Cricetulus griseus: one gene and its partner. The protein of the gene in region 1 purifies or fractionates together with the protein of each later gene. This does not show direct contact. Links are inferred from orthologs where the notes say so. Each region holds a gene or a part of one and is shown in the gene's direction. Other genes may lie near its edges.

Evidence for each region.
Region 2: the proteins of Cd19 (region 1) and Cd81 purify together in Homo sapiens (affinity purification with western blotting, with the first as the bait; 3 studies listed by BioGRID). This does not show direct contact. The link is inferred for Cricetulus griseus from reciprocal best matches to the Homo sapiens genes CD19 and CD81.

The regions. Positions count from the first base shown.
Region 1 is NC_048596.1:74,392,510-74,397,040, forward strand, and holds the start of Cd19 (B-lymphocyte antigen CD19), read left to right. Parts: upstream 1-1,467; coding exon 1,468-1,555; intron 1,556-1,725; coding exon 1,726-1,992; intron 1,993-2,265; coding exon 2,266-2,472; intron 2,473-2,591; coding exon 2,592-2,870; intron 2,871-4,019; coding exon 4,020-4,127; intron 4,128-4,367; coding exon 4,368-4,416; intron 4,417-4,531. UniProt on the Homo sapiens protein: Functions as a coreceptor for the B-cell antigen receptor complex (BCR) on B-lymphocytes. Decreases the threshold for activation of downstream signaling pathways and for triggering B-cell responses to antigens.
Region 2 is NC_048596.1:58,320,105-58,323,914, reverse strand, and holds part of Cd81 (CD81 antigen), read left to right. Parts: intron 1-877; coding exon 878-975; intron 976-1,882; coding exon 1,883-1,957; intron 1,958-2,184; coding exon 2,185-2,289; intron 2,290-2,603; coding exon 2,604-2,705; intron 2,706-3,079; coding exon 3,080-3,166; intron 3,167-3,246; coding exon 3,247-3,309; 3' UTR 3,310-3,810. UniProt on the Homo sapiens protein: Structural component of specialized membrane microdomains known as tetraspanin-enriched microdomains (TERMs), which act as platforms for receptor clustering and signaling.

The DNA.
Region 1 (4,531 bases):
CCACACCACCCCTTACACCACACATACACAAACATGCACACCCCATACACCAAACATACATACACCACACACACACACACACACACACATACACACACACACACACTTTTTTTTTTCCTGTGCTGGAACCCAGGGAATTATATATGATAGGCAGGTGCTCTACCATTTAGCTACATTACACACCCAGTTCACAATCCTCCCCTTTTTTGAGGTGGATTGACACAGGGTCTCACTATGTAGCTCTGGATGACTTGGAACTCAGAGAGATATGCCTGTTGCTGTCTCCCAGTTGCTGGGATTAAAGGTGTGTGCTACTATGCCTGCTTGGTTCTTCATTTTTTAAAATGGGGTCTTGCTATGTAGCCCAAGCTGGAATGAAACCCAATATGTGGTATGTGTACGTGTCTATGTGTGGTAGCAGGGATTGAATCTAGGTCTCGAATATACTCTATCACTGAATTATGTCATCAACTTTTTAAAAAATATTTTTAAATTTTCAGAAAGGGTACACAACTGGGTCATATATGCAGAGTGCCTAACAGTGAGAACAAGGCTGTCTCCAACTCTTTTACAGGCTCTTGGGACCCTAATCCTTGTACTGGGTCACCTTGCCCAGCCTTAATACATGGAGAGATGTTTAGTCTTACTGCAACTTAATATGCCATGTTTTGTTGATATCCACTTTCCCTGCACTTTCCCGAATAGAAAGAGAAGAAGAGTGGATTGGGGTTGGGATCAGAGGGGAGACTAAAGGAGAGAAATTGGGAGGAGAGGAGGGAGGGGAAACCACACCCGGGATGTAAAATAAATAAATAAATAAATTTATTAATTTTTTTTTTCAGACAGGTCTTGCTAAGTAGTTTAGACTTGCCTTGAACTCACTCTGTAGTCCAGGATGGCCTTGACTTTTGTGATCCTCTCAAGTAGCTGGAATTATAGGACTGGATCACTATATCCAATATAAAGTCCTAATACTATCCCCAGACGATAAAGAAAAATGTGGAAACCAGGCATGGTGGCACATGACTTTAATCCCATCACTTGGGAGACAGAGGTATGAAATAGGATCAGAGCCTGGAGTCTGGAGAAGGGAGAAGGAAGGAGAAGAAGGGAGACCCGGAATCTGTATTCACTCATCTGACAAATATTTACCAGCCGCACTGTGTGGAAAACACTGTGTGTGCGGCGGTGAAGATGTTAGCCTTGCCCCATGGGGCTTCCATGCTGAAACATACATGTCATCTACTTGGGTTAATTTAAGTAGGTGGCAGGGAGGGGACAACTGTTGTGGATCTGGAAGAGTGCCTACAAAAGGGGGCCTAAGGTGTGACCACCCCTTTCCTCTATGGGGGGGACTGCCACCACCCCCACAGACACCCATGCTTCATTGACCACCGGCCTCCTGCTTGCCCCAGCATCCTCTGCGCGGCCACACAGAAACTGAGTGCCCCGGGGAGCCTGGCTACCATGCCATCTCCTCTTTCTCTCTCCTTCCTCCTCTTCCTTACCCTTGTAGAAGGCACGAGCCAGAAGCCGCTACTGCTAGAGGTAGAAGGTATGTCCGTCTGTATGTCTGAAGGAAAGACCTGGGGTTGGAAGCCTGGGTTCTGGGTTGAGTAACTGGCCTTCTCTGAGCCTCAGGGCTTCCCATATGGTGAACTTCTGGGGTCCTTTGGTTTATGAGGAGGGAAAGGGGCTGGGGCTCCCGTCTTCCTCTCCCCACAGAGGGAAGCAATCTTGTGCTGCCATGCCTCCCGGACCCCTCACCTAACTCTACTGAGAAACTAGCCTGGTATCGAGGGAATCAGTCAACACCCTTCTTGGAGCTGAGCCTAGGGTCCCCAGGCCTAGGCCTGCGTGTGGGGTCCCTGGGAATCTTGCTAGTCATTGTCAATGCCTCGGACCATATGGGGGGCTTCTACCTGTGTCAGAATGGGCCCCCTTTCAAGGATACCTGGCAGCCTGCGTGGACAGTGAATGTGGAGGATAGTGGTAAGTGCTGGGACGGCTGGGTAGTGGGGGTTGGTGGGAAAGAGGGTCTCTCCACGGACAGAAGAAGGTGGGGCTACAATGACTGAGAAGGAAGGGGTTATTTCTAGGCAGCAGGTTCCTATGGATTGGTAATTGCTTTGAGCTATCCCACATCTCTGTCTCAGTCTTCTGTCAGGCATAGTTACTTTCTCTCTGTGTCTCCGGTTCTGCCTTTCCGGGTCTCTGTATCTCCCCCTTCTCATGTTCTATGTATGGTTTGGGTTTTTTTCCCAGGGGAGCTGTTTCGCTGGAATGCTTCAGATGTAAGGGACTTGGACTGTGGCCTGGAGAACAGGTCCTCAGGGAGCCATAGGCCCTCTTCTGGTTCCCACAACAGTTCCTGGCTGTATGTGTGGGCTAAAGACCATCCTGAGGTCGTGGGGACAAAGCCTGTATGTGCCCCACAGAGGATCAGTCTGAATCAGAGTCTAATCAACCAAGGTAAGGGGACACTGGGAAGTGGGGTCCCAAGGATAGGAAATGGTGCTGGGAGCTGGAGGGTTTGGGGAGATGAGACTTCATAGGCTATACTTTCGTTATCTTTTCTCTCCCTGCTCTAGATCTCACTGTAGCCCCTGGCTCCACACTTTGGCTGTCCTGTGGGGTACCCCCTGTCCCAGTGACCAGAGGCTCCATCTCCTGGACCCGTGTGCATCCTAGGAGGCCTAACGTTTCATTACTGAACCTAAGCCTTTGGGAAGAGCACCCGGTCAGAGAGATGTGGGTTTGGGGGCCTGTTCTGTCACTGCCTCAAGCCACAGCTTTAGATGAAGGTATCTACTATTGTCTCCATGGAGGCCTGACCATCGAGATGCATGTGAAGGTCAATGAAAGGTCAGGTAGGGTTTCTCTCAATTCTGGGAATCTGTGCGGAGCTACTGGAAGAATTGGAAGGGTTAGGAAGAATTGTGATTCAGTAGAGTGTGTACTTAGCATGTATGAGGCCCTGTGTGTGTGTGTGTGTGTGTGTGTGTGTGTGTGTGTGTGTGTGTGTGCAGAGACAGAGAGACAGACAGACTGACAGCAGACGCTATTCTGGTGGTGCACAACAGTAACCCTAGAACTTGGTCGGCCAAGGCATGAATATAAGTTCTAAGCCAGCCGAGCACTAGGATCAGCTCCAAGCCTCATCCCAAACTCCAATTTGCACACTGAATACTTGCTCATTGCTTCTGAGAACTAGTTTTTCTGGGTCTTCTCCTGTGAGCTCTTCTTCTCCAATCCCTCCCTGTTGGAACCCTGGGCCTTGTATTCATTCCTATCCACACCCTCTTCTCATTTGGCATCCTTACTCCCATGACTCTAGTTTCCCATGCCTTTATACCTACCCTGGGCTCCACATTCCCCATACCCAACCATTTCCTGGAACTGCCATTTGATATCCCATGGACATCTCAGGCTTGCTAAGTAAAGTCAAACTCAACATCTTTTCCACCTATACAATAGGCTTTGCACAAATGGAGCACCCAAAAGAATCTACATGGGCCCACATGCCCAAGTTCAGGAGCTTGACTTTCTTCCTTTTCCTTATTCCATCCATCACATCAGCCACAATGTCTTTGCTGTCTCCTTAGTATAATCCTACCATGCTATCATGACCATAATAACCCTTAAATGCTACCTCAACTTGCACTCCATCCAGACATGGTCTTATGATGTATTGGATCCCAAATCTAACTTGGTAGACTCACCTCTGCCCTGCATTTTGACCATGATTATCCTTAACTGCAGAATTAATTTTCCCCTGATTGCTTGGATAATATCCATGCTTTGTGGGTGGTTTGTTAGTATAGTGTCTTGTGCTCTGTGCCAGTCTCTGTGGCATAATCCATGTCCTCCTTAGTGGAACAGAGAAGAGCCCTCTGCAGAGCTCAAGACTTTAAAGCTGTGTCTTGCTTTAGTTTCCCAGACAAATGTCCTTTGAGGGGTTGGAGAGTAAGTTAGATGCATTGTGGGGTCCTTGTCTTATAGCGACTTCCTCCTCACAGTGTGGCTCTGGCTGTTGAGGACTGGTGGATGGATGGTACCAGTTGTGACTATAGTATATCTCATAATCTGTATGGTTTCTCTGGTGGCTTTTCTCTACTTTCGAAGAGGTGAGTCATACCTACCAGTTTTCCCAAATTCTACCCAATCTTTCCCAGAACAAGGCCACACTGACCAATCTGACATGTCCTACAGCCCTGCCCTTACTTCTTTAATGCCTCTCAAACTTCCCAGGGCCCCTAGTATTTGTACAACCATCTCTATTGACCCAAGGGACCTTCCCTGTGTCCCCCAAATTCTCCTTCTGCCAGGCAGTCCCTTCTCTCATCGATCTCTTTAAATTCCACCAGCCCTTACCCTGAAGAGGAAAAGAAAGAGAATGATGGACCCTGCCAGGAGGTAAAGTAGCAGGGCCCTTTTGTTACAAGCTTTACACTCTTCCATCCTGCAGGCCTTGGCACCATCTCTGTTGGTTGAAATACTACCCAAGTTCAGAGGCTGCCTCCAAAATCAC
Region 2 (3,810 bases), about 16 Mb from region 1:
CCATGATCTGGCCTGTTTCTAAGCCTGGCTGTAGGTCCTGGCCATGGCGCCTTTGCTCCTGGGCTGGCCAGGCAGGGGACAATGGGCCTGGCTTTATGCAAGGAAGCTTGGACTGCCTGGCAGTGTTGCCGTGGAGACTGGGGGATGGGCTGCATCTGCTGAAGGACCAAGAGATGGAGGACTCTTCAGAGACGCAGTGGTCTTTCCCAGGGGCTGAGGAGTACTGTGGGCACTGAAACAGGGATATGGCCCAGCTGGTGCCTCGTGGGTTACAGTGCTCCCCTGTTTCTTCATGGCTTCCCAGTTTATTCACAGCCTAGACAGTGTATATGGCAGGTGTTGATGCTCTGCCAAGCTGCCCCTATCCTTCTGTCTGCCATCCAGCCACCCCACCCACAGGTTCCTGTCCTTAGGTGAACAGAGCGGTTATACACCAGTGTGCCTGAGATGAGGTGTCTGGAGTTGGCTACTGGCATAGCCTGTCCTTGCCTTCACACTCACCCAGCACTGGGAGTCCTGGGCATCAACCCTAAGCCAATAGCCGATACCCAGGCTGCTTCCCCATTTCATGCACTGAGATGGGTAGTCCATCTTAGCCCTCTACAGTGAGTGCTGAGGGTTCCTATTCTCAGGTGCAGGTAGTGGGGGACTGGCTATAGGGCAGAGCATATCTGTGAAGTGCAGATCACCTGTGTTCTCTGGGCATGGAATTGCTGTTTTTGTCCTCTGGTTGCAGTGGCAGCTCCTCCAACAGGACACTGAGGCACAAAGAGTTCACGCTGCCAAACTCTGCCTGTTGTGGGTGTGAGTGCTCCAGACACTCCTGTCTGGGGCAGTGAGGCATGCAGCTTGCTCACTGAATTCTTCCTCTCCCCAGGCATCTACATTCTCATTGCTGTGGGAGCTGTGATGATGTTTGTGGGCTTCCTGGGGTGCTATGGGGCCATCCAAGAGTCCCAGTGCCTGCTGGGGACGGTAAGTAGGAAGGGTTTCAGGGCAGGGGAGTAGTCTTCCCCAAGGTTTTGCTTTTTCTGTTTGCTTGATTTCCATTAAGTCTGACTCTGAAGACTCATGTTGACAGAGGGAGTTTCTCTTTAGAAATGCATAAACCAGTGGGGTGCCTCACCCCTAAAGCCAGCCTTAGTGTTCCTGGCCACAGTGGCTACTGATGGAGCAGAGTCTCAGATATGTCTTCTAGAGCCTGGCCAACCAGTGTGGAAAACTGAAGCACACTTCATATTTTAAACTTCCCATGGATGGAGGATAAAGGGGGTGAGGAAACTAAGGTCAGGGTTGGGGGCATATTGCTGCATGTGCCTCCCTGGAGACTGTGATCACTTGGATTTGTCTACTGCATCTCCTGTGCAAGCAGCATCCTGCAAAGCAGGGAGCAGGGTAGGGCCCTGAGAACAATAGATTATTGCATGCTGCATGCGCTCAAGGATGATCTGTAGTCCGTAAGGCTAAGATTTCTTTATTCAGATAAACACCAGCCCCCACACAAGCCAGAGCATGCCAGGGGCAGCAAGGCAGCCTGGCCAGAGAGCAGGGGCTATCCACGTGTGCGCAGTCCCTTAAGAATTCTTCCCACATCACCTTAGACCTCCCCTGACCACGCCCTCACGGGCGTGTCCCGGCACACCTGTCGGGGCTGGGGGGGGGGGGGGCGCGCTACAGTGTCTCCCTACAAAGAACTTGAACATCTCGGTGCCAAGCTGCATCAGACCCCATCTTTCATGGTTCTGTGTGGCTCATTCTTAATCAGGACATGGTTGATGGATGTGGTCAACTCCCTTGGCACATAGTTGTTGGTCATGTGGGCACCTATAGAGGGCTGGGCTTGGGCTTGCTGGTCAAGGCTCTGTTCTCGTCTTTCTTCTAGTTCTTCACCTGCCTTGTGATCCTGTTTGCCTGTGAGGTGGCTGCTGGCATCTGGGGCTTCGTAAACAAAGACCAGGTGAGCCTAGGTTCACTGGGGAGGGAGATAGGCCCCTTGCCTGGGCAACAGGAGTGAACCGCTCTGAGCCCATGGGTTACAGGGTGCCTTTTGGGTTTCTGGTGCCTGCTGGTAGAAGGGTCTTGGGAGCTGAACAGAAGAGATGGTGTCAGGTTGAGCACAGCAGGGGAAGCTGAGTGCTCTTGATGGTAGTCCCTATGCTGCAAGTGACTATGATTCTCCCCCAGATCGCCAAGGATGTGAAGCAGTTCTATGATCAAGCCCTTCAACAGGCTGTGGTGGATGACGATGCCAATAATGCCAAGGCTGTGGTGAAGACCTTCCATGAGACGGTACAGCTAGGCTGGAGCAGGGAGGGCAGGTTGTGGGAGTCCTAGTGTGTGTGATCTTTGGGGGATGAGTCCTGCCTATTTCCAGACATCAGCAACATGACAGGTCCTGGCTAAAGGTCTGTGTGATTTGTAGATCCCCAGGCAGGAACCTAATGGGCCTCATTTGCCCAGGGGTTTGGAGGAACAGGGCTCTTGAGCAGTGTGACAAACAGGGTAGAAGGCCAGCTCCCAGGTATATGGGGGTGATGGTGTGCTGACCTTGCCCTTGTCTCCTGAGGCTCCTAAGGTGACAGTGATGCTTTTGGTCTCTGCAGCTCAACTGCTGTGGCTCCAACGCACTGACCGCACTGACCACCTCTGTGCTGAAGAACAGCCTGTGTCCCTCAGGCACCAACATATTCAACTCCTTGATGAAGGTGACATGGAGTGGGGGTGGACATCATATCCTGGGTGGTAGGTAGAGTAAACATGGCCCACCAGGAAGATCAGCAGGACCTCAGAAAGGCTCACAGAACATCTCAGGTAGTGGGGTGCTGGGTCCTGACAGCCTGCGTTAGCCTCTGCAATATCCTGGGAAACTGCTGTCCAGTGGTCCCTTACACATACTGGAAGCCCTAGGGTACTAGTGAGGTCAGAAACACTATCCTGTGATAAAGAAAGAGAGCAGGTCCATGTGTTTTAAGTTTATTTTTTGGATGGAAGATAAACTGCAGGACAAGCCCCACCACTGAGTAGGGTAGTGGCTGTGACTTAGCCACTGACTGTTACCACCCTCTGGCCATCCCTGCAGGAGGATTGCCATCAGAAAATCGATGAGCTCTTTTCTGGGAAGCTGTACCTCATTGGTATTGCGGCCATCGTGGTAGCTGTCATCATGGTAAGCACAGGGCCTCTTTGGTGGGTGGGTACCACCCCTCCCAAGGTCCTAGGTGCTGACAATGCCCCTCCCTCCCGCAGATCTTCGAGATGATTCTGAGCATGGTGCTGTGCTGTGGCATCCGGAACAGCTCCGTGTACTGAGGTCCTGCACTTTGTACTACAGGGACCCTGCAGTGCCATGCCCCTGAGTGACCAGAGGCCACCTCGGGGGCCATGGCCTGTGTATATATTTCTGTATTACTCTGCTACACTTAGCCTTTTTACTTTGAGGGTTTTTTTGTTGTTGTTGTTTTGAACTTGCCCGGTATCTTTTGGGGGCTGACATCACACATAGGTGGCAGTGGTGAGTGTGGGGATATAGGGGTGGAGCTGGCCCTGGCTTGCAGGGCCCTGTACTTCTGGAACCCCTGCCTGCTGAGCCAAACCTCCTCCACAGCTGCTTGCCCAGAGGCTATGTAGCTGAGCTAGAGAGCCATGGTCACTCACCCTGCCCACTGTGGGTCACATCGATCACATCTTTTTAATCCTTGTCCCTTTCCTGTCCCCATTTCAAGAGCTGGGTTTGTAAGCACTCTTATGCCTTCAATGCACCTGTTCTTTCTAACGTGTCACCTTCAACTGTAATTACATCTGAAACAGTCA